Linked DNA regions of Oreochromis niloticus. The protein of the gene in region 3 purifies or fractionates together with the protein of the main gene of each other region. This does not show direct contact. Links are inferred from orthologs where the notes say so. Each region holds a gene or a part of one and is shown on either strand. Other genes may lie near its edges. The genes, in order: phf5a, snrpa, sf3a2 and cherp.

Evidence for each region.
Region 1: the proteins of sf3a2 (region 3) and phf5a purify together in Homo sapiens (affinity purification with mass spectrometry; 5 studies listed by BioGRID and IntAct, with this or other methods). This does not show direct contact. The link is inferred for Oreochromis niloticus from reciprocal best matches to the Homo sapiens genes SF3A2 and PHF5A.
Region 2: the proteins of sf3a2 (region 3) and snrpa fractionate together in Homo sapiens (co-fractionation; 3 studies listed by BioGRID and IntAct, with this or other methods). This does not show direct contact. The link is inferred for Oreochromis niloticus from reciprocal best matches to the Homo sapiens genes SF3A2 and SNRPA.
Region 4: the proteins of sf3a2 (region 3) and cherp purify together in Homo sapiens (affinity purification with mass spectrometry; 3 studies listed by BioGRID, with this or other methods). This does not show direct contact. The link is inferred for Oreochromis niloticus from reciprocal best matches to the Homo sapiens genes SF3A2 and CHERP.

Annotation. Positions count from the first base shown.
Region 1 is NC_031973.2:22,533,152-22,540,047, forward strand, and holds phf5a (PHD finger-like domain-containing protein 5A), read right to left. Parts: upstream 1,914-6,896; 5' UTR 1,809-1,913; coding exon 1,757-1,808; intron 1,490-1,756; coding exon 1,466-1,489; intron 985-1,465; coding exon 818-984; intron 714-817; coding exon 624-713; 3' UTR 518-623; downstream 1-517. Other genes in the region: aco2 (aconitate hydratase, mitochondrial), read left to right, coding at 6,615-6,650.
Region 2 is NC_031979.2:23,337,287-23,344,971, reverse strand, and holds snrpa (U1 small nuclear ribonucleoprotein A), read right to left. Parts: upstream 3,013-7,685; 5' UTR 2,894-3,012; intron 2,888-2,893; exon of another isoform or gene 2,690-2,887; intron 2,584-2,689; 5' UTR 2,573-2,583; coding exon 2,500-2,572; intron 2,400-2,499; coding exon 2,227-2,399; intron 2,141-2,226; coding exon 1,964-2,140; intron 1,300-1,963; coding exon 1,123-1,299; intron 1,026-1,122; coding exon 937-1,025; intron 853-936; coding exon 693-852; 3' UTR 285-692; downstream 1-284. Other genes in the region: actmap (actin maturation protease), read left to right, coding at 3,677-3,846, 6,883-6,951, 7,172-7,296, 7,520-7,649. UniProt on the Homo sapiens protein: Component of the spliceosomal U1 snRNP, which is essential for recognition of the pre-mRNA 5' splice-site and the subsequent assembly of the spliceosome. U1 snRNP is the first snRNP to interact with pre-mRNA.
Region 3 is NC_031982.2:13,069,714-13,076,845, forward strand, and holds the start of sf3a2 (splicing factor 3A subunit 2), read right to left. Parts: upstream 3,005-7,132; 5' UTR 2,863-3,004; exon of another isoform or gene 2,837-2,862; intron 2,231-2,836; 5' UTR 2,160-2,230; coding exon 1,962-2,159; intron 1,851-1,961; coding exon 1,804-1,850; intron 1,699-1,803; coding exon 1,589-1,698; intron 1,468-1,588; coding exon 1,418-1,467; intron 1,127-1,417; coding exon 986-1,126; intron 896-985; coding exon 827-895; intron 263-826; coding exon 1-262. Other genes in the region: plekhj1 (pleckstrin homology domain-containing family J member 1), read left to right, coding at 4,528-4,642, 4,848-5,000, 5,175-5,242, 5,337-5,403. UniProt on the Homo sapiens protein: Component of the 17S U2 SnRNP complex of the spliceosome, a large ribonucleoprotein complex that removes introns from transcribed pre-mRNAs.
Region 4 is NC_031981.2:23,794,660-23,801,760, reverse strand, and holds the start of cherp (calcium homeostasis endoplasmic reticulum protein), read left to right. Parts: upstream 1-4,081; 5' UTR 4,082-4,232; coding exon 4,233-4,257; intron 4,258-4,816; coding exon 4,817-4,990; intron 4,991-7,101. Other genes in the region: dohh (deoxyhypusine hydroxylase), read right to left, coding at 742-909, 1,477-1,582. UniProt on the Homo sapiens protein: Involved in calcium homeostasis, growth and proliferation.

The DNA.
Region 1 (6,896 bases), on a different chromosome or scaffold from region 3:
AGAGGTCAAGGGTTAAAGGGGGTTTCTTTTACTCGCCACCCATCTGTACCTTTTTAAATCATTACTAAAAACAGATCCTGACATTTTTTACACTGAAAATGTTATTTCATTTTGGCTCTTGCCCCTGTGTTCAGCAGTCCACAGAAAGTGGGAGTATTTATACCATTAATGGTAACAGCTCAGGTCTTTGTGTATAAAAAGCATCATGCATTGCCAGCTGGAAGAAGAAGCTAAGAGAAGAGAAGAGAACGAAGACACTGAGATTTAGCAAACACTGCCACTGACTCACTGCTGATGTTAAGAGGGAAAACGTCCTGAGCAGATTTTGTTAAGAGGAAAAACCTCAACAAGTAACAAGACAGACTTCACATCAAAATGGAATCAAAAGCTCAGAGTTGTTTAGTGAGCTTTAATTTAAAAAAAATCCTTTCCAGTGACACCTCTTCATTTCCCCATTTTTATGACGTGTTCACTGATTATTTAAAAATCTTGAACACCAACAAAGCAGTCATAGAAAAAAAGTATAAAATTGAGTTTTATTGACAAATCAAACAAAGGTTTTTTTGTGAGTTTTAAAGAAAATCTGAAAGACTAAACGTTGCACTGGGTCGTCGTGGTCGTGTTCACCTCTTCTTGAAGCCGTACTTCTTTCGTTCATAGAACAGATCTGTTTTGGAGCTGCCCAGGTTTACAATCTTAGGACATCCATCTCGCTGGAGAGAGAGAAAGAAATTTTTTATCTTAAAGAACAAGTCTCTTGGATATTTTGCTGCTTCAGTATCCAGTGTCAAAGTGAAGAGAGGAGCGGGAAACTCACATCTTTCTCCTGGATGGTGCATTCTTTGCAGTAGTAGGCGTCAGACACACCAGGCCCTCCACATATGACGCAGCGCCCCTGATAGGAGCCGTAGTTACACTCATCGCAAATACGCACCAGTGTGCACGGTCTCACGTAGGAATCACAGATGACACACTTTCCATCACCTGGACAGAGAAGAGAGGAAGAAGAAAGGTTTAAACTTATACTGGAGGAATTTGAGTTTAGAGTTGTTTGTGTATTTTGTTTTCTTTTGGACTAAATAGACAATAACAATAACAATTTACAGATATAGTGACTATGTTGACTGTAGAGTGTACAAATAAAACAACAGCAATAAAATTAATGATTAAAACTAGAGATTAACATCTATACTCTGGCTTATTTTCAAAAGCAGGGATTTAAAAGTCTGTAGTTTTAGAGATTTGAAAGAAACACAGGGTAAGTAAATATTACTGGTGTAATAAATTAAAAACACACACAGATTAAATCCTGATTGTTATGAACGTGGTTATAAAAATAAAATTAGCTGATTAAACTTGTAGTTAAATAAATGAAACAAAAATATGACATAAACAGACCTTAACACTAGTTTAAAACACATGCCGCTTGTTGTTCCAGATATTACTCACAGATAAAAACACTTACATTTCTCACAGAGTCTCCCGATAGCTGCGGGATAGAAACAAAACAAAGTGAGTCAATGTGACAGGAATTCACACAAAAAACAAACCCCACTTTCTTCTAGTTACGATACCCTTCTAGCCACCAGAGCCCACAGACCTGCAAACACTTCCAGGCTAACACATTTTCAATGAAATCCACGCCATGTTAGCATGGATGCTAACGCTATGACCTACGAAACAACAACAAGGGACTTCCGGCTGCAGCAAAATCCACTGTGCCGAATACTGAAACGTAAAATGAGTCCAAACTTACCAACACCAGCTTGTTTTCGACAGAAGATCAAATCTGGATGATGTTTAGCCATCTTAGGTTTACGTAAGTAAAGCGCTTCTCTTTCTTTTTCTTCTTCTTCTGCTGCTGCAGCTGGTTTTTCTTCTTCTTTGTCGTTTTTGGCGGTTGGCAAACAACGATGTGGTACATTACCGCCACCAACTGTCCACAAGTGTGGACCGGAATTCGCTCATATCAAATAATCGGAAAATAAATACAATAAATAAATACTACAGGATATATATATGTCCTCATATCCTTTCACACAAATGAGTTTGTTTTAGAAACTGAAATAAAGCCATAAAACTTTCACATCTAGAATTCCTTTGCAATAAATCCTTTATATCTAGCTTAATCCCCCCAGATTTTGAATCAGTTGTGTTCTTTCTTCCTGTAATTTTGATTTTGGTTTAATTTATTCCACGGCGATTACATTTCCCTGTTTGATGTTGCCCTATAATGAATAGCGTACTGTTTAATCCAGTGTGGCCAGATCTGAATCAAGATATTATTGTCTCCTCTCTCCTGGTCCTCCCTGTGCTTCTCATGTTTCTTGTTTTCCTTTGAATAGAATAAAACCATCTCCCTGTCCTCTCCTCCTCCCACAGCTTTTTGCCCTATTTCCCACATTATCTGTTTTATTGTGCTCTTCATTTCAGCGTTGCTAATACTGATATTTAAACTTGATCTCCTTTAGCAGCCTAATATTAATTTGATCTATTTGGATTTCTATTGTTTTCCAGGTTGCTGTCCATCCAAAGCTCTTTGACTCCTTTACCTCCTTCTGCCAACAAGGTTTAATTGTTTCCATTGTGGGGTGATCTTTTCATGGGAAAAAATTGAAGATATGACACACTGATGCAATGTGAAGTAGTCAGTGTACAGCTTGTATAACAGTGTAAATTTGCTGTCACCTCAAAATAACTCAACATACAGCCATTAACATCTGAACTGCTGGCAACAAAAGTGAGTACACACCTAGGTGAAAATGTCCAAACTGTCCCCAAAATATCAATATTTTGTGTGGCAACCATTATTTTCCAACACTGCCTTAAAGCGTTATGGCTTGCTAATCACCTGCATGTGCTCCAGAGCAGTGCATCTCGAGATGCTTGACGATTTCTCTCCAGATTCCTTCATCAACTCCTTACGTGCATTCATAGCCATCAGAGGTACAGTTCTCCGGATAAGATGCAATCAAGGCACAAACTATGTCGGCACAAGCAATGATTTACTGAAGAATTTAAAGAAATACATCAAGCAAAACTTTGAAAACTGGACCGCGAGTTTCTCATCAACACCCCAGCACGTAGTCATATGAGTGGTGTCTGGGAAAGACAAATTCGCATTCGCAAAGTGTACTCACATCAGTTCTTGAACAATGAGCCAAACAACTTGACAGCTCCTCTCTAAGGACATTCCTGTATGAAGTCATGGCAGTGATTAATAGCAGACCATTGGCTACTGACCAACTATGTCATACCTATGGTTGTCCCCACACCTAGGGACACCTTGCTGTCCTCTGCATACTGCTGCTATATGCCCATATCTCTGACCTTTGTAGCATCTAGAGAGGGAGGGATATATGGCCTATCTGTAAAACACATGCATCCTATTTTGACTTTTTCTGGAAGGGTAGGACCTTGAAACTTAAACATCACTGACAAGCTATCAACTCTTTCCCCATTGACTGTTCTTAATAGTCTTTTAACTCGACTCACTTCCAGACCTTGAATGCTCCGTTTTAGTTTTTCAGGATTCTCATCCACCGGAATCCCTGTTATGACCCTCTTGTTGTTTTATTCTCTCCTTCAGGCATCCTTTCTACTACATCTTTATACATATGTTCTCAATACGCATTATTATTTTTTTCCTCCTCCCTCTTACGTGCTATCAACAAGTTCCTGTCTCTTAGGATTCTTGCTTGTTGGACATCCCCTATCTTCTTTTTCAGTTCCCTCGATACTGCACTTGGACTTAACTGCATGTTCTCATCCTCCTTCCTAAACTTCAGTATTATTTTGAATTCCTCTCTTACTATCGTCTTCCGAACTACAGCACTCCCTTCATCTGAACTTCTGCTATCGCCCGTTTCTAATTTGGCATTCCAACCAAATTTTCATCCTCTCCCCACTTACTACCTCGTCCTCGTCCTTTCCTACCTACCTTATCATCCTCATCCTCTACCTGAGTTGACATTTCAGTCCTGTCACAAGCCAGCTTATGCCATCCGCTGTCCACCTTCTTGCCCAGCTGCTGAGCTCGGCAGCACCACCCGAGTCCTTGCTCCGGATCATAACATAGAAAATTGGGGGCAATTTGACCAGTTCAATTCAGTTATTCAAATAATCGCTAGCTGCAACAGTAAAGTGGTTTACATGTGAATGAATCAATAGGTATGAGTCCATGATCTAATATGCAGTCAGGGGAAAAAGAAAGTTCACCCTTACTGAAGCAGTCATGTGAATTCAGAAGGATGTTCTCTGTTTCGTCATCGTCAGGTTGTTTCTCAGTCGTTGTTTTTCCTGCTTTGTGCTTTTGTTTCAGTTACTGTTACTTCAGTTTACCACGGGCCCCGCTGTTCCCTGTGTGTTGTCAAGCCTCTGCCTGTGATGTTACCCGATTTTAGTTATTTCCTGTTTCATTTTGGCAACCTTTGTCTTGTGCGTTTGGTATTTCGTTTTACCTTCCCTGTCTTCTTTTCCTCATTAGATGCAGTTGTGTTTCCTGTTACCTGATGTGTTTATATTGTGTCAGTCTCCCCTTTGTCATGCCCTCCCTGGATGGTTGTGTTTTTCCTTATTTCACGTTTCCCTGAGATTTCTAGTTTTTGTTATTGTTTGCTCCTGATGAACTCCTTGTTTTTTGTCTTTCTGAAAGTTGAGCATTAAAGCTGTCCTTTGAGCTGATGTTCTGTCTCAAGTTGTGCGTTTGTGTCCACATCCTGCCTGGCACACAGACGAATTTTGACACTCAGACTATACGGGCTTCAGCTAGCATGTTAAAGTTTATGACAGTACAATTAGTGTCATGGTTGGCTGTGTGGCAGGCAGGCAGGCAGGAAAAAGGACCCAAAATGCAGGACTCTTGGAGACGGAACTTTAAACTCAAAGCGCAGCTTTATTGCTGGGAAAAACAAAACAAAACTTTGGACAGATGAACTAAGGACTGAAACACTGGAAGAGGAATTCTAAACAGGAGCATGAGCCAAAGAGCAGGTCCGGAGGCCGACCGCGCGGGAGGCAGTGGCGGCAGCGACAGAGCAGGTCCGGAGGCCGACTACGCGGGAGGCAGTGGCGGCGGCGGCGACAGAGCAGGTCCGGAGGCCGACCGCGCGGGAGGCAGTGGCGGCGGCGACAGAGCAGGTCCGGAGGCCAACCGCGGGGAAGGCTGCGGCGGCGACGAGGCAGGTCCAGAGGCCGACCGCGCGGGAGGCAGTGGCGGCGGCGACAGAGCAGGTCTGGAGGCCAACCGCGCGGGAGGCAATGGCGGCAGCGACAGAGCAGGAGGCAGTGGCAGCGGCGACAGAGCAGGTCCAGAGGCTGACCGCGCGGGACGCAGTGGCGGTAGCGACAGAGCAGGTCCGGAGGCCGACTGCGCGGGAGGCAGTGGCGGCGGCGGCGACAGAGCAGGTCTGGAGGCCGACCGCGCGGGAGGCAGTGGCGGCGGCGGCGACAGAGCAGGTCCGGAGGCCGACCGCGCGGGAGGCAGTGGCGGCGGCGGCGACAGAGCAGGAGGCAGTGGCGGCGGCGACAGAGCAGGTCCAGAGGCTGACCGCGCAGGACGCAGTGGCGGTGGCGACAGAGCAGGTCCGGAGGCCGACCGCGCGGGAGACAGTGGCGGCGGCGGCGACCTCGTTCAGGGGCCGCCCTTGACGGTGATGACGTCCAGCTAGAGGCCTGGAAAGTGGCTGGCAGAGGTGAGGTGATCCAGGGAGAGCTGGATCAGACGGTGGTGTAGCATCCGCAGGACCAGGCAAGGTCGGACCAGGCACGGCAGAGGCAGGACCAGGTGCGGCAGCATGGCAGCTGCGGAACCAGGCGCGGCAGCGTGGCAGCTGCGTAACCAGGTGGCAGCGTGGCAGCTGCGGAACCAGGCGGCAGCGTGGCAGCTGCGGAACCAGGCGTGGCAGCTGCGGAACCAGGCGGCAGCGTGGCAGCTGCGGAACCAGGCGTGGCAGCTGCGGAACCAGGCGGCAGCGTGGCAGCTGCGGAACCAGGCGGCAGCGTGGCAGCTGCGGGTGGTGGCGCTGCAGGTGATGGAGTGGAAGCCCCTGACGAAGGCACTGCAGGCAATGCAGGAGGTGGCAGATAGGATTCAGAGCCGTCAGCGGTCCTTAGCTGGCCGAATGAGCTCACTAGAGCTTCCAGCGTACTCATGTACACATTCAAAGTCCCAAATAAACATGTCCATCAAAACCTCATCAGGCAAGCTGCGATAATTTAATTCATTTTTAATTTGACTAACAAATGCTAAAATTAGGGCAATTTCATCAGTTTTCTTTTTATTTTAGTTTTCCAAGCTCACAAAATCCTTTCAGACAGTTTTACTTTTTCAGTTTTGGTTTGTATTTTAATTAATTAAAAATTTTCCCCACAAAAAAAGAAGCCCTGTGGGAGTGGTGTTGTTAAAAAAAATTAATAAAAAAATAATAATTGAAAAACTTTGGGAGGACATAAAGCAGACTATGAAGGAGCGTTTGTTTTTTTTTTCTCCACTAAGCGGCAGCACGCTTCATGTCACAGCTGCCGTTAAACCCCAAAGAAGAAGAAGAAGAAGAAGGCCGCCTTACAATTGTGTTACGTCATCACCGACCCTCACATCTTTGTCAGTGAACAAAATGGCAACTTACTGTCTCACGGTCGCTCGGCTCCAGGTAAGAGACAAATTGACTAATTTCATCGCATTTGTCCAGCCGAGGCGGATGCCACCCTCCGTATGAGATTTAATAAATCTGACTGAATGCTGTGCTGACCCAGATAAAGCACCGAGAGAGGCTAAAGTGGAGAGATAAGCTGAGACACTAGCACTGCTTAGTTGTCCAGGTCATCGTGTCCCGACTGCTCTGAACGCATCTAGCTAGTTTGACTCAGGCTTAATAAATCACGACTATAGTGACTCC
Region 2 (7,685 bases), on a different chromosome or scaffold from region 3:
ATAAAGTCTCCATGCTTTGTAATAATCAGACTCCAAAGAACTAAATTTTCTGCAGATGTGGTCTAACTTCAGACTGCAGCACATGGCATTAGCATCCTGAAAGAAAAGGGTTTTCTCAACGCTGGTTTCTCCTTCTACATGTTGTGCAGCTGAAGTTGTTTAAAGATGAGATCCTTTTGACTACAGGGACTCTGTCTTTGAGAGCAAATGTTTAACACAAGAGAAGAGAAAGCGTCACCTATTGGCAGAAAGCTCAAACTGCAGCTTAAATGAAGAGCAGCACATTCTTAGAACACAATTTTATTTATAAAAAGAAAGAAAAGCTCCAGGTACAATGTCTGGTAAACCAGACTCTGGGTGCAATGCTTTATGACAAATGTAGAAAACATATCAAGCTGCTTGTGGATTTGGATGTAAAGCTAAAAAACAAAAACAAAAAAACCAAACAAAAAAAAACTTCTACATATGTGAGTTTACTATCAATAGGATACAAAACTCACATATGTTTGTCCTTTATTTTTAAAGAGTTCTGTCAATGTGGCACGATAAAAAAAAACAGCAGCTTGACACATACTTACGTGCAACCCTGAAAGTCAATTTCTAAGAATGCATCACAGTCAGATTTACTGCAAGTTTAAAAAACAAAGACCTGTTTATATGTTGGGGAAAAAAAGACCACCGTTCCTGAGAGCTTATTTCTTAGCGAATGAAATCTTCATTGCATTCGTCTGCGTGATCTTGAAGCCTTGTAGTGCGTCTCGTGCAGCTCCGGCCTGCACCTCGTTCTCAAACTCCACAAATGCGATGTCGTGGCGTCCAGGGACCAAACGCACCTCCTTGAATCCTGGGAACCTAAAACACACACACCAACAGTTAGGCTCAGCCTTTAACAGACAAGCCTGCAAAACTAGATCTAGAGAATGGGTTGCTACTGACTGGTTGAAGAGCATGGACAGCATGAGCTCGTTTGTCTCCTCTGGCAGGTTGGTGAGGAAGAGGATGTGATTGGGGGGATTTTCTGCAACCTACGAGTACACATTGGACATCAGAATCAATCAACCAGAAAAATATCAATTTATTAAATTCAATGAAGACACAACATGCTCTGTCACAAAACACTACCTGCTGGGGCATTTGTCCAGGCATCTGTCCAGGCATCATCTGACCAGGAGGAATGGCACCAGGGGGCATCTGGCCAGGCGCCATCCCTGGAGGTGGCATCATGCCTGGAGGGGGCATGTAAGGTGGCTGGCCAGGCATGTGCATCATACGGGGAGCCTGGCTCATTGGAGGCATTCCCTAAAGAGTGAAGAGCTTGTTAAACTCAATGTCCATTTTCCTCTTCTGAGGTTATCTTTCATTGTGTGTGCTACTATTTACATTTGTCAGTTTTCAATCACACAAACTGTTCTAGATGCAGGAGAAACTTTCTCCCTTTGTTTTTGTTTCCTTATTTATTAATATTGTTCTTAAAGGGTTAATCCCAATTCAGTTTAATGTTTTTTGCTCTGCAAATTGAGCTGAAAACATGTTTCAGCCATAAGATAAGAACAACTTTATTGATAACAAAGGGAAATTCATACGTTTGACATAGCTCATCTGCCATTTGTAGAGAATGATTTTCTGTATCTATATATCGAAGTCTGCTGTATGCAATGTAGAAAGCAATAGACCCAGGACAGTCCCCTGTGGAGCCCCCATGTTGCTCATTAATGTCTCAGAAACACACCTGACAAACTGTGGCCTTTCTTTTAGGGTATTCTGTGATCCAGGAAACAGTAAGAATCTACTATAAAACATCTAAGCTATAGAACAAAATAAACAAGAATTTTCCAACATATTAAAGTTAGAAATCTCAGGGTTTGTATACTTTGTGTCTCTGCCCACACTTTGGCTCAGAGCTCCCTTGTGAATACATGACAGTTGCCAAAATAACCAATAACACAGCTCTGGTTCCACTTACAGGCATGGCAGCAGGCACGCCAGCGACCATGGCTGCACCAGCTCCTGCTACACCCTTCTTTGGTCCAGTGGCATCAGGTCCTTTGATCTTCTTCTTCTCTTTTTTGCGGTCACGCTCCACGTAAGTCCCCTTCATTTTAGCTATGATGTCAGAGTCAGTCTTTGCATACTGTATGCGCTGCAGGACCAAACAGAAAGACCACGTGTGACACACAAACTATGCTAAGCAGCAGCTGTGTGATATTCAGTGTTTAGTTACCCTACCATTGGTTTATCATAGAAGGGGAAGCCCTGCATTGATCTCAGCGCATTGGAGGCGCTGTTAATCTCTTTGAAGATAACAAAGGCCTGACCCTTCATCTTAATGTTTCGTGCCACCAGGATATCCAAAATCTGTCCGAACTGTGAGAAGATGGCGTACAGCGACTTTTTCAGCTCTACAGTAAATTAAAAAATAAACAAACAAATAAATAAATAAAAGGATTAGTCTGGTTGTGCATATTTAAACGGAAAGCGATTTCAACGTGCAAACCTCACCATCTTTCTTGATCTTCTCATTCAGGTTGTTGATGTAGATAGTATGATTGAGCCGGACCTCTGGAGTGGCCATCCTTTAATCTGCTGATGAGCGTTTGATGAACGTTTCTACTTTTAGAGACAGTCTGAGGCGCAGTTTAGATTACATGCTAAGCAGCTAACTAGCTAGCGATCGTTAGCAAACACTCACCAAACGTGACGGGGAGGGTTAGCCTGCAAGCTATCTACTACAAATTAGCACAATGTTTGGTGTTTTACATGTATATACTAGTCACCCAAATACTTAAGATCGTCACAAAGAGCTCAAATGCATTATTTAAGCACATGAAAGCGCTGAAGAAGTGTTTCTACGTAAGAAAATAAACGATTCAAGTCTTTAGCTCGACGTTCTTACCTGATGAATGAAAACCCCGGTCTTCACAAATCCCGTTTTCTGTTCTCGCGATAACAATGCAAGCGTAACTTCCGATGTTTAACATCCGTGTCCCAATTTATTATTATTTTTCCCTGTTGTAGCTGTTTCCAATCATTGTGGCAACATAATATTTTGTGTCACAGTTTTGGATAAAAATATAACATAGGGGCAGACATTCTGATACAATTCTTCTCAGAGTTCAGATTATGGTGTAACTCATATTTTTGTCCGGGTTAGCTTAGCGCCAGCAGTTTTTTTTTTTTTTAATTCTTATAATTTATCTTTAGCTTCATATTTAACTAGCAGTTAGAGTCATATGTATTAATTTTGCAGTCGGTATTGAGATAATTTAGATGCACTGGAGGGCGGTATGTTTCTACGTTCCTGAGGTGTGACTACACAAAGAAGAAGAAGAAGACGCAGCGCGAGAGTAGTACTGCCAAATTTGGGGACAAGCCGGGTGTTGTTAGCTGGCTTTGCTAGTTAGACAAGTGGGTGTGGGGTAAGTGTGCGAAAGACCAGAAACGAAGTGCTTTTATATAATTTCTGCACACCAGTTTGCACTAAAATAGTTTCCAACATCGAATAACGTTCGTCATTTGGTCCTGTATGTTGACAGGTTTAGTTATTAGCTTATTATAAGAAGAAGTGGAAGTTGGGCAGGTAGTTGCAGGTTCTGTAATTACACTGTTTATATTGGCTTGCTGTAGCTTGCCCCTGATTTCTACTTTCTCAGTCTACAATTCCTCAGGATAGGAGAAGATGTCAGTGGAATGCTCCCTGCCACCTCCACCGCCTCCACCTGCTCCACGTACACCACCTCAAACGTCAGCACCAAAGAAGAAGCTGTATCAGACTATAGCCAGCAGTAGGAGTGCTGTAGAGGGAGATCACACAGAGGCTTGCTTGCTGATCAGTCAGAGGGAGACCAGGTCAGGTTTTATCATGGATGTTTTCGCTTTGTGTGGAAAATTGCTAAATCTGCACATGAATTTTATTTTTAAGTGCTCACATGCTTGGCAGACATTTGTCACACACAGTCATGCTCAAGTTGATCAAGCAGATCCCTTGTGCAGTTCAAATGTTTCATTTGCCAACACAACCATAGAGGTTATTGATTGAAAATCCATGTGCAGCATAATCAGCCATGACTGTGATAACTGATCTAATGTTTTTAGGGACAAACAACACAACCACGCGGTTTAACTAATCAAAGACACAGGAACTAAAAACCAAACATAAGAGGGAAGGATTCACCAAGTGAGTAATGTAACAGAGGGACACCTAACACAGAGACAACAACTTAACTACAAGATACAAGAAGACACTTGGGGAGGCTAGGCTAAACAAAGAGTTACCTATTAATAACCAATATAAACCAGAATTAAAGTAACAAGCTTAAAAAATAAGAACCTTAAGGAATAACAGTGAAAAGAAATCTAAAGTCCAGAAAACCTAAAACATAACAAAACCCACGGATCAGGACACATCTCCGAATGTACAGTTATATAATCCAGAACCAGTGAGCAGTGAGATAAAGTATTGACAGAGCAATATATGCATCTATTTTCTGCCACTTATGTGGGTGGTGGGGGAAGCAGACCTCCATCTCATCTTCCTCCGTCTCTCCTGAGGGGACACTGGGTTTGCTCAGGAACATCTCAGAGATATAATCTCTTCAGTGTGTCCTGGGCCGGCCCAAAACACCTCTCCTGTAGTGTCCTGGAGGCATTCTGGTCAGATGTCTGAACGGATGAACTTATGAGTCGATAAGTATCCCACAGTCAGAATCAGGATACTTTATTAATCACACAGGTAATTATGTGATCACAGCTGCTCCAAGACAGTAAGAACAGTAACTAGCTAAACTAAATGAAATAATGCTACAAAGTTACAAAATATAACAAATAACTCTAATATACACAAATGGCTCTAATTATGAATTACAGTAAAGTAAAGAGAGACCTTAACTAGCTTGCAGTGAAGAACATGAATCTCACAGGGAGAATGAAGGACAGCAGTAAAGTGAGAGATTTGTTAATTTAATTAAAATGTTTAAAAATAGTACACACACAGACACCACAATGGACTGTATACAAAGAGTGTGTTTCTCTGATGGTTATGTTGTTTTGTATTGAGTACTACTACAACTTTGCTACAAAGTTGCATTATCCTATTGTATTGTGATATTATTATATTGTATTTTAACCCCAAGAACAGAGAGTTGCCTGAAGATATCTCTGACACGGAGTCAATAAAACTGAATGTCCAGTTTAGGGCAAAAGTCCTGAGCCAAGAGTGAGACCTTTTTGTCATTTTTTAAAAAGTGGTCTTAAACAATACTTCTTCAGACTTTCTGAAGGTCTTTGAAAAGTTTTTCTTTGGACACTGGCTGCTTTTTCCACTCATTCTCAGTCCAGTCCTCCCATTTGACTTTTATTCAGAGGAATAATCTTTTTTGTGCAACTTAATACTGACCTATGAATCATGGCATAAAAAGGGAACCTAACTCAAACCGTTGTCAGTGTGAGTCACATTACAGACAAATTGGAAAAGTACTTACTTTAAATTGTATCTATGGGCACTTTGTTACTACCAGCCTGTTATATAAACACATAATTTGTTCCCATTTCTTTAGTTGAATCTATGAAAAAGTGTCAGACAATACAGTTTGGCAGACATAAAATAGTATTTTTGCTTGGTGTGTAGTGTGCTCTTAAATATTTGAGAGAACTGCAAAATAGAGGACAAAAGAAGTGAAAGGCCTAAAAACTTTAGCAGATGAAAAATATCTGAAAGCAATGTCCTTGTAAAAAAAGGAAAAAATCCAGTAAAGACTGGAACCAGTATCAGATGGATCTGGCCTTTCACTTTATCCATCTACTGTTCACTGAAGCCTCATCAGAAATGGTCTCACTGAAAGGGTGGCTTTCAAAAAGCTGTCCTTAAGGAAGGAAAACAAGCAGCTGACGTATACCGAATTACATGAGATTGAATTATAAATGCAGAGAAGTACCATCACATTTTGATCCACCGTCAGTCCCATCTGGAAAGCATCTGATTGGCATCAGATTCCTTTTCAGCATGACAATGATTCCAAACGCACTGTCAGTGGAATAAAGGTGACCCTGATCCAGCACTAACTATGTGCTGCAATAGGTGTAGGCTGCTGGGGGATTCCCATGATGCACTAAGTACTTCTTTAGTCACCTTTCTCACTCACTATGTGTTAATAGACCTCACTGCATTGAATCATTACTTATTAATTATCTCTGGCTCTATTCCACGGCATGTCTTTTGTCCTGTCTTCCTCCCCTCACCCCAACCAGTCGCGGCAGATGGCGGCTCTTTCCTGAGCCTGGTTCTGCTGGAGGTTTCTTCCTGTTAAAAGGGACTTTTTCCTTCCCACTGTTGCCAAAATGCCTGCTCATAGGGGGTCGTATGATTGTTGGGTTTTACTCTGTATGTATTATTGTAGGGTCTACCTTACAATATAAAGCACCTTGACGTGACTGTTGTTGTGATTTGGCGATGTATAAATAAAACTGAATTCAATTGAATTGAATGAAAAGCAGCCAGGGTGGCTCAAGACTTTTGCACAGTACTGTATATGATAGTTCTGTGAAAGAAGCTTTTTATAATGCTGGCATTTCACTCCTCAAAGTATCCTGAAACTGTGGCAGCCAATATAGTTATCAGCCAGTTGATTAACATGTGAGTATAAAAAAAATCAGAAAGCAGGGAGTAGAAACAGTTGGGGATAGCAAACACTCACATGCTGTAAACTGCTACAGTTTTGATGCAGATAATAGGACACAGCCCATGGCACTGATGCTTAGAATTGATTCATGGCTGAGAAAAAAACTTTTTCTTTTGTACAAATTTCTGCATTTGTGTAAGTGCATCAGATAAACGGTTAACAAACTCCATGCCTTCATGTTATGCAGTGCCATTTGTTTGTTCTTCAGTTTCAGGAAGGACCTTCAGTGGATTCTGGTGAACACTTACGTGCCTTCACTCATTCAAGATGGTCCACAGTAAGTCATTAAAGTGAAGCGTCACTGTAATACCTGTCACTCAACACCTCAATCTATTTTTGGCTAAGAAGTATGTTGCATAGCACGCCTGTTTCCACAACAATTTTTAACTGCTATAGTATTTTATTGTTTTTAGTACTGAGTTATTTGGTTTACCTGAATCCTTTCACGTGAGTGGGTGACGTATTTGTTCAGTGTGTTATTTCTGGTAACCTTGTAGGTGTGGTCTGGTGGCTTTGTGGATGGCTGCTCACCTACGGCAGCCACAGCTGAGTGTTGACATGGAGACGGTGGTTCAGACAGCTCTGAGCAGGGGATACACGGCTCAGGGTGAAATGTTCTCGGGTATAAAATAAAAATGTTTAAACTCTTCAGGTCTTTTTGTAATTGGGGGCAAAAAAATAGCACAAAAGAAACAGGTGGGGGCTGTGATTAAACATTTGGACCTTTTATGACACATTTTGCAGCTGATATTTAATTTAATGTTCCACAAGCACGTAAACATTCAGTTTCAAGCTGGTGAATTTTGGTTTCTTTATGTTCTCATTAATCTTTTTTATTTTGTCAGCTGACAATATGGCCCTGCTGGCAGAAGAGGTGTGTGGCTGCAAGGCCGAGCTCCTTTCGGGGGGTCTGAGTGGTAATAATGCTGCAGCCATCATCTCACACCTGTGGGGGAGACAGCCTGTTCTCATCCCGTATCCTGGACCAAACCATGGGGAAAGGGTTGCTGT
Region 3 (7,132 bases):
TAGCTAATGTAAGGCCCTCTGGAGGGGGTGGCCTCATTGGCATGGGGGGCATGGGCATCTGTGGGGGCATCTGAGGGGCTCCTGGGCCACCAGGCGGGAGAGGAGGGACGGGCATTCCCCCTGGAGGCGGAGGGGGCAGAGACTCGTTTGATGGGTGATCTCCACTCATAAGGGGAGGAGGACGCTTCACAGTGGCAGCAGGTGCTGGACCGCTCGACTGGGTAACAGGTTTCTCCATTTTGAAGTGGAACTGTAGGAAAAACTGGATAGAAAAACAAAAAAAGAACAATTAAAGACATTTTTGGAAAACTAATATACAAGTTCCACTAGTTTAAACTTGTATATCACAGAAACTTTTTACAAGGATCTTTAAGATGAAGAAATAAACATATAGAACAAATATTAAGTTCACTTTATTGACTCACTGTTCCTATCAACTGCTATTTGTGCATAACAGCTTGAAAAAGTTAGAACTATAAACAAGTTCAAGAGACCATTTTACCTTCATTCACCCACGGGCTGACATTCACCCACATGTGTTTACTAATTAGATTAGGTTGCATGTAAATGAGGTAAACAATGATTCAGAGCTCTCTCTCACTCTGTGATACATTATTGTCTTCTCATACGGAAAGACGGGGAAAAATTCCCCAAGGTGCGCATCTTATCAGACAGAGTTTTTCTACACAAAAAAAGCAGCTAAATCTACACCTCTGCTTTTCTGTTTTTGACACACAGTGTGCCCACTTTGCTTCACCCCTCCCATTGGTTCTGGCAACTGGACCTAATAACTCTACTGGCAGGCACTCTGTAACATAGCTGGTACCTGTTTAGTTTCTTTGTTCCAGTGGGTCCAGAAGCGGTTTTCTGCTTTATCAATTTCTCTGCTGGGTACCTAAAACAGCAAACATCTTGTTATTACAGGAGTGAAGGAAAAATGACAAAGAAAAAAAACATAAGGGGAAGAGAAAAGTGCAGGTCTCACCTTGAAAGCAATGGTCTCATATGGTTCAGCAGCAAAAAGCAGGTACTGCCAGCGACGATCGGGAGGCTCAATGCGCTGTTCGTAAGCGGACATGAAGCGATGCCTGGGTCCAATTCCTTCAGCGATCTCTGGATAGTCAATCTGATGGGCCAAGAAAAGAAGGTCAGTAACACATGGCCTTTACTGTTGTGGTACGAAACTTTGCAGGTTAGAGCATGAGGTTATGATTTGTTCCTGTGACCCAGTTTCAGTGTAAAGCTCCTTTCGCCAACTGACTAACAAGATTGAGTTTGCCACATTTATGCAGAACTCACCAGATTATCCAAAGAATAAGTGTGCATTTTGCTTTGGTTTGAAGCACACAAATAATAACTTATTTACCCGGCTTCAAAAGGGTACTGGATTATATGCATTCTTTCAAAATATACAAACCTGGAAAAGTAAAGATTGCTGTCCCGTCTCTGGATCCCTCTGTTTGGTCACTGTGAATAATTAATAAAAATTAAAAAAAAAAGATTAATTTTTTTGACAATGTATTTTGTAGAGAAACTAGTATTAAAAACCAAACTGTGACTGCCATATAAAATGCCAGAGCTTGCCTACCTTTGTATCCTGGTCGACCAATTTTGACAAATTTCTTGACCTCAACTTTCACTTTGGCTGGAGCTGGTTGAGCAGGAGCTTCTTTTGCTTCTTTGGCTGCCCTCCGTGCTCTGAAAAATGTATGTAAACAGTTTCCAGCAACTTTAATTAAATCAGAACATAAAGTAACAGCTCTTGCACTTCTGTGTTGTAGCACAGATAACTTATGGACTTACAGATTGGTCTGGTGTTTCTTTCCTTGTGTGTGAGCCAAGTAGCTTCCCTGAAATACAGAGAGACATTTTTGATTTTTCTTTTCAAATAAGACACCCAGATGACAAGAAATAAAAACAAATTCAGTGAACAGAGAAATGTCTCATTAGGTGTCCCTCACCTCATTGTTGTGAAGTGTCAGACAAAGTTTGCACTCGTATGATCCTAAATGGTTCTTCATAAAGTAGGGGTCTTTGTTGATATCAATGGTCTCCAAGGCCAACTGACGTAACCGTTCTCGCCTGTCACGGTTACTCTCAGAGGCAGACGCCACCCCTCCGCTCCCCGTCTTCCCTCCAGCTCGATGCTGGAAATCCATTTTTGTAAGGTTTTGGAGTCAAACAGTCACACGAATGTGGACAGTTACTCCAAATAGATTCCCCTGATTACCTGGTTAAAAATAAAACAATAAGTACTGCCAGTGAAGGTCGACATTAATAACCCTGCACTCCAGGGCTGTAGCACAACAACAGCATCATGTGTAGATTGGCATTATTACTTGTGTTTTAGCTAAGGCTCTAACCTGGACACATTTTTATTGCTCAAACCTACATGGGTCATACAACCTGTTTTAAAAGCAGCTCGTCATTACAATCCCCTCTATACGAAGATTCCCAATGCTAACTTCCTTACAAAGAGTCAACATGAACACTGCGGAGTAAGGCCCAAACAGCGGATTTTAGAGGACCAAGTTAAGTTATCTGTGGCAATTTACCAGCGTACAAAAAAAATTCTTCCCATTATTACAAAAGAAATACATTCTGCGAATGATCCCAACAACATCTAGCTAGCTGTAGCATGTTAGCATACAAAAGCCGCTAAATGCGCTAGCAATTTTAATGCTAAGCTAATGGTGCTGCCAACTAATAATGAAAAGCTTTTAACAAATACAGATGATTAAAGTGAATATTAAAAATGCAAAATCACCACATCCGTTAGCCACAAAATTAAACATTTTAGGAGACTACAATCAGATTACTTTATCAAAACACTCACCAGCTCAACGACAGCGACACGCTCACCTGATTTGTTCTGCGCATGCGCTTCAGTAGATTCTTTTTCCCGGGTTTTGGTGGTTTGTAAAAAACCCTCTGGTGTGTTACTGCCACCTGCTGGGCTGGATCTCCAGCCAACACGACGGCTGGGCCTATGAGGGGGGACTTCTTGTTCTTAAATTTCTGATTGTTTCACAGCAGCAGACACAGGAGGTAAAAATTAATTAATTTAAAAAGATAAACTGCTCAGTGGTTCATTTAGAAATTCTGGCTTTTTTTCCTAATTCATTTTCAGTAGAAACACAATTCTAAAACATAAGTTTTATAGTTTTGCATTTAAAAACAATTATTTCATTGTAGTTGACAGTTTGTTAGTTTCGGTTTAGTTTTCAGGTAAGCTGTGGTGCTAAGGGGCCATTCTCCGCTGACCTCTAGTATTAGAAAGACATTACAAATACATTTGTAATACCAGCAGAGAATCAGAATCAGAATACTTTAATAATCCTTAACAAAATTATGTGGGTTTCAGTTGCTCCAAGCCAATAACAGTAACAGACTAAAGTAATGAAATAATACAATATATTACAAAGTTTACAAATGTAAGAAATAGCACTAATATAGACACATGTTCAATTATAAATATCAAGAATATTACAGAGAACTGCTGCCCACTGGATTTCTTCTTTTTTTTTGGACGAATCTCTGTAAAACGCTATAGATCCTTGGGCAGGAAAATCCCCATAGACCATGCTAGGGCTCTTCGATATAACGATATATATCGGATGACGATATAAAAACGTCTATCGTTTAATTTTACGCTATCGTTTGTTTCATGGTGTCGCAAAATAAACTGTTTACGGCAATATTTTTTCATTATTTTGATGGTCACTGTAGTGGCTATATTTATTTCCTAAAGTTCTCTCTTTCTCTTATATTTAATATAACCACACTACAGACGGACAAGCGCTTGTTTTTATGCTTGTCGTTAGCAACAACGACGGTAAAACCACCTCGTGTCCGCTTGTTTATTTTCCACATAAACCTTTCACAATAAAGCTCAAGATCCTGTTGAGACTTTTCAAAATAAACTGAATCACGTGAAAGATGCAGAGTATTTACGGATGAGAAGCAAAAATGAGCCATCAGGTGCTAAAAAATAAACCTTAGACTCAAACGTTAGAACAGGCTTTTCCCCGCAGCACGCTGTGTAATAAATACTCACAAAGAAAACGGCGGCCATTACAACCTATGTCTAAAAATGTATCGTTTCATGCATCAGTTAAAACACTCGACTCCAGGTACCCGACGCCCAGCTGGAAACATTTCACGCAAGTCGAGCTGCTCGACATTCACAGAATTTACAGAAAATGTTACATTTTTGTGATTTATATCGTTATCGGACGATAGATGTCTTAATATCGGGATATGAGATTTTGGTCATATCGCACAGCCCTAGACCATGCCACATTCATAGTCTATTAAATCGCCTTTTCCCCCACTCTAATGCTCGGTTTCAACTTCTGCAGTTGATCTTGAACATGCCTACATGCTTACATGATTACATATTTACTTTAATGAACAAAGTGGCCTATGAGTGTACCTTAGTACGCTAGTTAGTGCAAACCAAACGGAAAATGTTTAGGTTAACCAGACTGAAGCTGGGGCCTCTGTTTCCGGATAAGAAACATCTAAATGCTGACTCTTGCACAGAACAAAGGAGCCATTTTTGACCTGCAGAGGGCAGTAACGCGCCTGACCAAGAAGAGGAAGAAGACAACCTCGGCAGAGAGGAGTGTCATTACTAGAGGTGTGTGAGTGTGGCATGAAGTCCAGAGCTGTTGTTTTCAGTTGACCCACAGAAATGATCAAACGCAGTCCGACAGGTTTCGGGGACGTTAGATAACGAAGCAGCGACGTGGACTCAGCGGTGTATACAATATAGTCCTTGCACCGTACTACCGTTAGCTAACTCCTGTGTTATGCTTTCGACTGGGGGTACGGGTCCTCTTTAGCATCCGTGTACCTGCGTGTGTCCGTCTGTCCAGCCTGTGAGTGTTTGTGTGTGTCCGCGATGCGTTTCAACGAGAAGGAGCTGGTGTTACTGAGCCGCCAGCCGTCGGAGAGAGCAGCTGAACTGGGGATGAGAGGTCCCAAGAAAGGAGATGGTAAGGACAGTCATTCAGACGCACTTCCGTTTCGTGTATTTGGGCACAGCAGCTAATGTCAGCATCAGATATTAGACATATCTCTCTCTGTATACTTCATGCGACAGCTGGGCTGCTTTGTGTTTGTTGTAGAGACGAGTTTGTCTGTCTAACTTCCCTTTTGTGGCCTTGCAGTTGTAAAGAAGAGGCTAGTGAAACTCGTCGTCAACTTCCTCTTTTATTTCCGGACTGATGAGGAAGAGGTCAGTATGCTTGTTGTCACAGCATTTTCTGTGATAAATTGAATACATTTGTTTCAAAAGGGGGGTCAAAATTAACTGAGTGTTTATTTGGCAGCCAATTGGAGCTTTGCTGCTGGAGCAGTGTAGGGTGGAAAGGGAGGACAGCCAGACTTTCTCTATTGGTAAGCTACAGCATCCTTTAGAGGTACAGTTAGGAGTGACTAAGTCTGTAAGTGACCGATTTGTTTTTGGTAGTTTTGCCTCTGTACACAACCCCAGTGGTTTTTATATCAAACAATGAACATGCCTTTGAAGCGCAGACTCCCAGCTTTTATTCAGGGGCTATAACAACAATGTCACGTTACCTGTTTAGGAGTTACAGCCATTTTTATAAAACAGTCTTTATTGCAGCCGCCTTCAGTTACTAGTTTTGTGTTATTGGGTTGAGATCAGGTGACCAACTTCAGTTGAAGACGATTCCTTTCTTTGGCTTAAAAATCTCTTGAGTTGCTTTTGCTCATATTTCTGTCAGCAGACACAGAGTGCAACTCCCGCCGAAGAGCAAGGGCTGTACTAAAACTGTTATATTTTATGATGTCTTTATTACAACATGCTGACATCAACCTGTTAATGGCATCATTGTGACATCATTGGGTGTCGTATTGAGACAATTGAAAGTGTGTTGTACCGCTCTCTCCATGTGCTTTCATATGATATATTACTCAATATGATTTCTTTAAAATGGTTTTCAAGGTCAACTTTGACCTTGGGTGCTAGTAATGAAGATAAAGACAATCCATTAAAAAAATTGTGGATGATATAAAGTTTACAGCTTTTTTTTCATATTCTGTGTGACTTTAACATTGACACAATTTTCACTAAAATTAAATCAACTCGAGCTGTTATTGGTATCTACCATCACACCAAATGTGAAAATTATATCATGAAAACCGTGGACACTAAACTGCTAACAAGCAGACAGACAAATGGTACCGATTACATACTTCCTCCCTTTGGAGGAAAAATAAACACTAGTGATCCGGTTCCACTGGCAGCCATATAATGCCCATGTATGACAGATAATGTGTGATGCCTCCGATCATGAGCTGTGTCTTTCCTTCTCTGTACTTTTCTCCTTCCATCATCCTGGTACAAGTTCATCTTGGTTTGATCTGAGCAGACTCTTTTAGATGTTTTCTGACAAAGTCTAATCTGGCCTTCCTTTTCTTGAGTGTAACCAGTGGTTTGCACCTTGTTGTAAACTCTCTGCATTTCCATTCATGAAGGTGTCTCTTCATTCTAGACTTATGTTGATTTGCTACCTTCACAACAGTGTTCTTGGCTCGATGTTGTTGGATGTTTTGGCGTTGTTTTTCCTAACCATGCAAATAATTCTGCAGTCAAGCACTTTAGTTGTCTTCTGTGGCCTTTAAGGCCTTTTGATGTTGCTGAGCTGGCCAGTGCATTTCTTCTTTTTTTTAAGAATGAACCAGATTGCTCATTTGGCTGTTCCTACAGTTGTTGTTGTCTCTCATTTAGGTTTATTTTGGTTATTCGGCCTCCTGCGCCTTCATCAACATCATCTGGAATCAACTGCATACTTTTTATCTGCTTATCTTGTCATCGAACAAGGAAACAGGACACACCTGGTCATGAAACTGGCAGTCAGTTGTTTGACTGTGTAAGAAATGGCTGTAATACCTAAACAGTCAGTTCATCACTTTTGTTAAATACATTGAGTTAAAGCTAAAGTCTGCACTTCTGTCATATTGTAATAGTTTGATGTAGAATGAACCGTGGTGGTATATAGAAGCAAAACTACAAAAACATATTGACCTAACTGTATATTTCACTCTGACTTATTTTCACTTTCTCACCTGCGCTCTGCTGTTTCTGTTGGTTTCCTTCATG
Region 4 (7,101 bases), on a different chromosome or scaffold from region 3:
AGTGTAGCCTTTTCGCAAGGCACCTAGTGCTCCTTACAAAGACCACTAAAGCATCTTAATGTGGGGGCAGTATATTTGGCTACTCATTTTGGTTTTTGTTGTTTTGGCAGTCCATGCTATCATACAGATGCCGTGATTGGTACTCCAGTGGATTGAATTCCAGCTCCACTGTCTGCATCAATGGTCCTTGTGGTGCTCTAGAGACCAGAGCGAGCTAGGGAGAGGATTGCATCCCTCAAACCAGAACCTGCAGTACATGAAACTGGTCTACATGTCACTACTCCATCTCCACAAGGCTGCAGTGCAAAAAAAAAAAAAGACTTTGTAACCAGCCCAAAATGGCAAAGCTTCAGACTCATTTGACAAGCAGCTGCTTATACTGCTTTTTGTCACAAAGTACTTAGCAAAGGTAAGATTTGTGGAGGAGCAACTAAATTATTTAATTGTTTAATTATACCACCTTACCTAAATGACCGTTAAGAAAAAAAATTGATGACAAGGGAGTAGTTCATTTTCTACTACTCTAGGTATTTTACACAGTGCACGTGTGTCTGTATTGCATGTGTGTTGTAAAAATACAAAAAGCAGATTAATTGGGAACTTCTGTATTTAGTGCAGCAACAAATGAACACCTGGACACGCACCATCTGTGCAGAGCACAGAGCTTACATAAAACATACTGTGTCAAAATACTTGTGTTTGGTAGTACACCGACTCCTCATCCCCATCAAGCACGCTTACCTGCTTCATGCCTAACCATTGGCTCCTGCTGTTTATCTTTGAGAACAGCAGTCAAAGTAGGAATGGCCCGTTTGTCCTGCATCTGTCCCAGGCAGTAAGCCAACTCATGCTTCAGCAGGGCTGATTCATCAGCGAAGGCTTTGCTGATCCATTCTATAGCTTCAGCACCTGACACACACAGATGACAGCTTGAATTAGTTCACCCAAAAGTCACTACCGGCATTCAGTCACACCAAATATATTGCAACAATATGCAACAGCTGTGCTGTGATTTCAGTTTGCATTAAAAAAAAGATCTTTCAGAGAAAAAGAAACAACTGAATGTCTTGTCTTTCAGACAGTACAGTGCTGCTTTCTGTGATTAAGCCAACCATACGAAGAGGAAAAGACTGGTGGCTGCAAGCGCGAGGGCAAGACGTTATTGCAAAGTTTAGAGATTTAAAGATTACTTTTTTTCCTGTGAGTTTTGTTGGAAAACATAGGGGCTACTAAAATATGCTGAAAGGACAGAAACAACCACAACTACATTTGAAAAAAAAAAAAAAGAAGAAGAAGAAACTGAATGTGTGGGGTGATTCCCACCCCTACAAACCAATGTTGGAGTCCTACATACTACTGCAAATCTTGAGCACTGGGCACATGGACTGCCGCTATTTTGTTACTTAGCTGAGTGCTTTTGTCATTTGTCCAGTTTTTGAAAATAAAAAATAAAACTATGTGGTCCTGGTGTTTTACCTCCCAGGTTCCTCAGGGTAAATAAAGCTCTGAACCGCTTGGTCAGGTCCTGTCTCGGGTCCACCAGCTCCTGTCCTATTGATCCAATCTTCTCGACAGTAGCCATGCTGCTGGAAAGAGAGCAAGACACTTATGAATCTTGGACCTGTAAACTTAGAGCAACGTGAAAGCTTTTTTTTCCTCACTCATAGTTTAGTGGAGAAAATTATATATATTCAAGTCTTAATTTATCTTATTTATACTAAAAATCTATAACTGCTAGGTGAAAACAAAACGTTTATATCAGGGGTCCCCAATCCCAGTCCACGGGGGCCGGTGTCCTGCAGGTTTTAGATGCGTCCTTGATCCATCACAGCTGATTTAAATGGATAAATTACCTTCTCAACCCCTGGTTTATATAGACTATAACCGAGCCATATGAGGATTTTGACTAAATACCTGGAGTCCAGGCCAATATTAAAACCAGCTACGGAGGGTATAGTATTTAGATGTAGTTTCTGTCGACGGCCTGCAGCTAGCTCTGTACTTTACATGATGTATTATTGATCTTTTTCACGCTTCTCTCCTTCCTGGTGAACACCGCTGTCACTTCACTACATTCCGGTGTCTTGCGCCTGCGTCGGGAGCACGCGCTGAGCACACCGGCTTCCACAAATAAACCATCGCCTATCATTGGCTGAACTCTTTCACAACAACATCACACGGTATCCACTAACGCCACCACACAACGGCGCCCAGTGTAAACGTTGTCTAAACGTACCAAGCTTCAGTATGTACAGTATTTCACACACCTCCGTCACGGTCCCCACAGCACAATCCACGGACAGTCGCAGGAAGTTGTTGTGTCCTTCTTCTTTTTGTTATTTGTGCAGGTGGTTGGAAAACTACGAAATTGTGTTTTGCCGCCACCAACTGGTATGGAGTGTAGACTGAAATGTGGCTCAAAAAACAAAAAAAACAGGGCTATTTATGAACATAAACCACACACCTTTAAAATATTTGGAATGGAGGTAGCAATAGAAAAAAAATCAAATAATGTTATGTGTAACTTTTTTCTTTAGTTGGACAGATAAAATAAAAAAGAAACTCATGCTATACAAGTGCAGCACAATTTACAGACAGTTGTACTGTGTATTACTACTGTGCTGACTGAGAGGTGATGTCCTTCAAGTAAAAAAGAGTGCTTCTTCACCTCAGTGTTCTAGTGGGGGTTATTGGGGGGCTATTTTCCTTGAAAATTTCACCTGATAGTCAAGGAATTTAAATAAAATAGAGTAAATTTATAATTAGTCAGTTTGCTGATAAAATGCCTTTGTTGTTGTATTTTTCATTTTTTTTGTAAAAGAACTTGTGATCTCTAAAGGAACAAAATTAATTTTTCTCAAAAGCATCTGGTCTGATTGTAAATGTTCTGATATGTCAGATTTTAGCAATTTGCAATCTTGATTTAAATTTTTACATCGCGGTAAAACGAGAGGTGAAATACTTTAATAAAGTATAAAGTATATCATAATAATAAAATGATCTGTTGTTGAAAGGAACATTTGAATACCACTCCTAAATTTCTTATTAAAGCGATTTGAAATTGAGGTTGACTCATGTAATTTTTGTACTTCTGAATGTGAAACTGGTGATCATTTCTATTTTAAATTCTCCTCATGTGAGTTTATTTTGGTCAGACATTTACAGTTGACTTTATCTGAAAATAGTCAACATTTCCATGCTTACTTATTGTTTCTTTTGGGGTTGAACAACAAAATTTCTGATACTGTTAATCTAATTATTATTCTGGGTAAATACCATTTTAATTCTTAAAATCATCAATTAATGTAATCTGACTAACTGCATGTCTTTGGACTGTGGGGGGAAGCTGGAGAACCAGAGGAGAATATTCAAACTCCACACAGAAAGGCCCTAGCCAGATTGTGGATGTGAACCCAGGACCTTTTTGCTGTGACACAATAGTGCTAAACACTGTGTTGCTAAGCTCAAAATATGTATATGTAGATCCTTGCTCCTTTGACCCATCGAGCCTTGCTTTTATAAACCCCTTTTGTTTGTTCATTTTTTCTGGTGTTCTGTTTTTCTTTTCCCTTTTTTAATTTCTGCCATTTGGGCATTGGACCTTAGATGGTTAGGAAAAACTGTTGACTGATGCTTTTGAACCCCGTCTTTTGCTGATCATACAACAAACAAACAAAAAGATAGCTCTGCACTGCCAAGTGGGTCATTTGAAATGACCAACTGGATAGCACAGCATTCCCATTGGACTGGGTGCTGGATCCAGCTGGATAAGTGTCTTGTTTGGTCTATCTGTCCAAAAGGTTTGCCTCCTATATTGACCAGGAAGAGAAACTACGGGGTTTCAACCATGTTTTCTAGGATAGGATTTTGTAAGCATATATAATAAAGATCAGGACTAAAGATATTTTAAAATGTTGTATTTTTTTAATATATATTTTACTTATAGTTAAATAAAAATATTTTCATTTTTGGACGTTTACTCGCCGCTGCAACCATCAATCCACCCAAACGAGCAAGGCGCGAACACTCCTCCCAGTCGCAAGGGGCGCTGGAGACAATTCCATAGCCATCTTTTGTGGCGCTGTTTCTGTATCGCATTTCCTGTGCGTAGCAGCGGCAATGCAAGTGATTTTGGGGGAATTTGATATATCTTTTTCTGAAAAAGTAAAGAATTTGGCGGAGTTTTTACATACATATTCTGGCTAAGTGGTTCGCTGGAACAGAAATTAAACATGGATATCCCCAGTCCTCCCGAAGGTGAGCCGTACACCACAGCTATTTTAAATTTCGATTCAACGTAAGCGAGCACCCATGCTATCTGCTACATAGCTAACAAAACCATTGGATTTAGCATGTTGATTAAGGTCACCGATCAGAAGTGGATGAATGTTTAACCGGGCTCTGTGTGTAATCATTGCACCAACTAACGTGAAAAATGGTGTAGAAATAATCCAGTAATAGAGAGTAAACGTTAGTTGTTCTAACTTTTCACGGCTGCTGGCTTTTAAGAAAAAGAACCCCCATAGAAAGAAGATCCCTTATAGATATTTTTGTGCTACAGCAGCACGATTAAGAGTAAAATTAAAGCCAACTGATTTAATAATACTATGTAGGAATATAGAAATAATTCATGCTTACGCAACCTCATTTCTAGATATTTCTGTTTCAGAAGAAATTCATTATTTTCTAAATCTGTTTTATTTGATTTTTTTAAAAGAACTTCAGTCACTATTATTTCTGTCTATTTCAGTGTCTCTGTTCTGTGGTTTTTACAACAACATTTTTCACTGTATTTATGTCTGTTTTTTTTGTACAGATCAGGAGCTTCGAAATGTGATTGATAAGCTGGCCCAGTTTGTTGCCCGAAATGGCCCAGAGTTTGAGAAGATGACGATGGAAAAACAGAAGGACAACCATAAGTTCTCCTTCCTTTTTGGGGGCGAATACTTCAGCTACTACAAGTACAAACTTGCTATGGAACAACAGCAACGTATGTAGTTAAACTGACACATCACAATAAAAACAGAATTTTCACATAGAGGTCAATTTAGTATTGGAATATTAAGTTCATTTGATGTTCAGTACTTTGGATTTCTTACTATAATAGAAATATTCAAACTAAAAAAAATGTAATAAAAAACAGTTTTTACAGATAAAAGCGGAAAAAAACCCCCAACCCAGTACATGCACCAGATATGTTGGCAGAATTATTTACTTTTCTGTTTTGGGGTGAAACTGTTAATTGAACAGTCCAGCATTGTATTGGTAATGTGAATCTGTTTTTGGCATGGATTTTTTTCCTTTTGATTAAAGGCTTTCAGACTGCCTTTATATCATCACCTGGCAGCAGTAGTCCTTCTGCTCGCAGCCTTCGTCAGCTGCAGAGTCAGTTCTCTAGCTCACAGAAAATCTCCCCAAAAGCAGAACAAGGATATCAGTCAGTAAATGCACTAAAGACAGTGGACTTGGAATCTCACTACAGGATAAAAGGTGTCCAAATGACACTTTGGTCTGGCTTAATAGCAACCGGGCAAATCTGTGGAAGGAACTGTTGCAGCTAAATTTGAAAATACAAATCTTTAAATTTAGAATCTCTTCAATAATCAAAGACACGTTGGTGGTGTCCAAAGAATCATTTTCATATCCGACATTTGGGTAGGAGGATTAGCAGATGAAGCACTGTTTTGTAGTATCTTACAGTGCGCTGTCTACACATACAGTTTTTCCGGCAGTCTTCAAGGAGACATCAGTGAATTATAATGTAAATAGCTAAGTGGGCATTGTAGCAAGTTTGCCACTACAGGAACCCCTCTATATGTACCTTGCATACAGTTTCTTTGTTCGGTGTTTCTCTCTTTATTTACGCACATACAACGAGTTTCAAAATTCTGTCACTCTCCATGCTTTTAGGAGGTTGAGGTGGTATACTTGTGTGGCACCAATCCTGTGTCCACCCCACTTCACAATCTATGTCCCCCACTCGCCACATGGCCATAAAGGGTCCTTGCTAGTTGGCGAGTAATTTTGAATTGCAAATGGGAAGAAATACGTGTATTTTACCTCCCAGTTTGAGCTGTCTGAGTCTAGTGCCTCTGTTGTACAGGTGCTGCTAACATTCCTTTTATCACTCAGCCGTAAAAGGCTGATGGGGTTTCTTGTCACCCTGTTAAGGTCAGAGGTCAAATCTTCTGAAAATCTTGTGAATGCGATACCGCAAGAGGGAAGTCACCTAGGATTTTCAAATTGATACCACAGGTGCATCTAGTAAAAATGAATGCCATAACTTGAGAACAAGATGACATAGGATTTTGAAACTGATACCACAGGTATGTCTGTTAGAACTGATTCAAGTTTGGTGTTTTTGTTATTGTTGTGTAGGACAACAAAATAACAACATTTTGGCAACCCCTGAACATGCAAAATATTCAAAAAAATGTGCAAAATGGCAAATATTTAAAAGTACACATGAAGAATAAAAAAATAAATAGAATAAAAGAATACAAAATACGTACAAGGTCATAAAACGTATGTGCAAAGATAAGAACATTATGAAAATTTAGTAATGACTTTACAAGTTGTATGTGCAAGTTTCACAGTATAGCAAATGTAGTGCTATTACACAGAAGTTGTAATAGGAAGGCTAGCAATCATGTGTGGACTGTGTGTATGTGTGTAGCAGCATTTGAGTATAGTTGATGTACATAGGATCAAGTTCTGTTCTTCTTGACTGTCTGAAATCCACCACAATCTCCTTGGCTTTGCTGCTGTGTAGTATGAGTTTGTTGATGGGGCACCAGGCGATTAGGCTCTACACTTTTTCTCTATCTGCAGTCTTGTTGTTAATGGAGATCAGGCCAGTGACTGTGTGTCGTCCGCAAACTTGATGATGGTGTTTGTTGTGTTTGAAGGTTGACAGTCATGGTTGAACAGGTCTTACAGAACAGGGCTCAGCTCACATCCCTTTGGTACATTGAGGATGGAGGATGCGCGTTTGCCCATCCTGACAGTCTGGGGATAGTTGGTTAAGAAATACAGGGTCCACCTAAAGATGGTCGGGCTGAGACGGTTTGGGAGTTTGGACACCAGTTTGCGGGGACACCG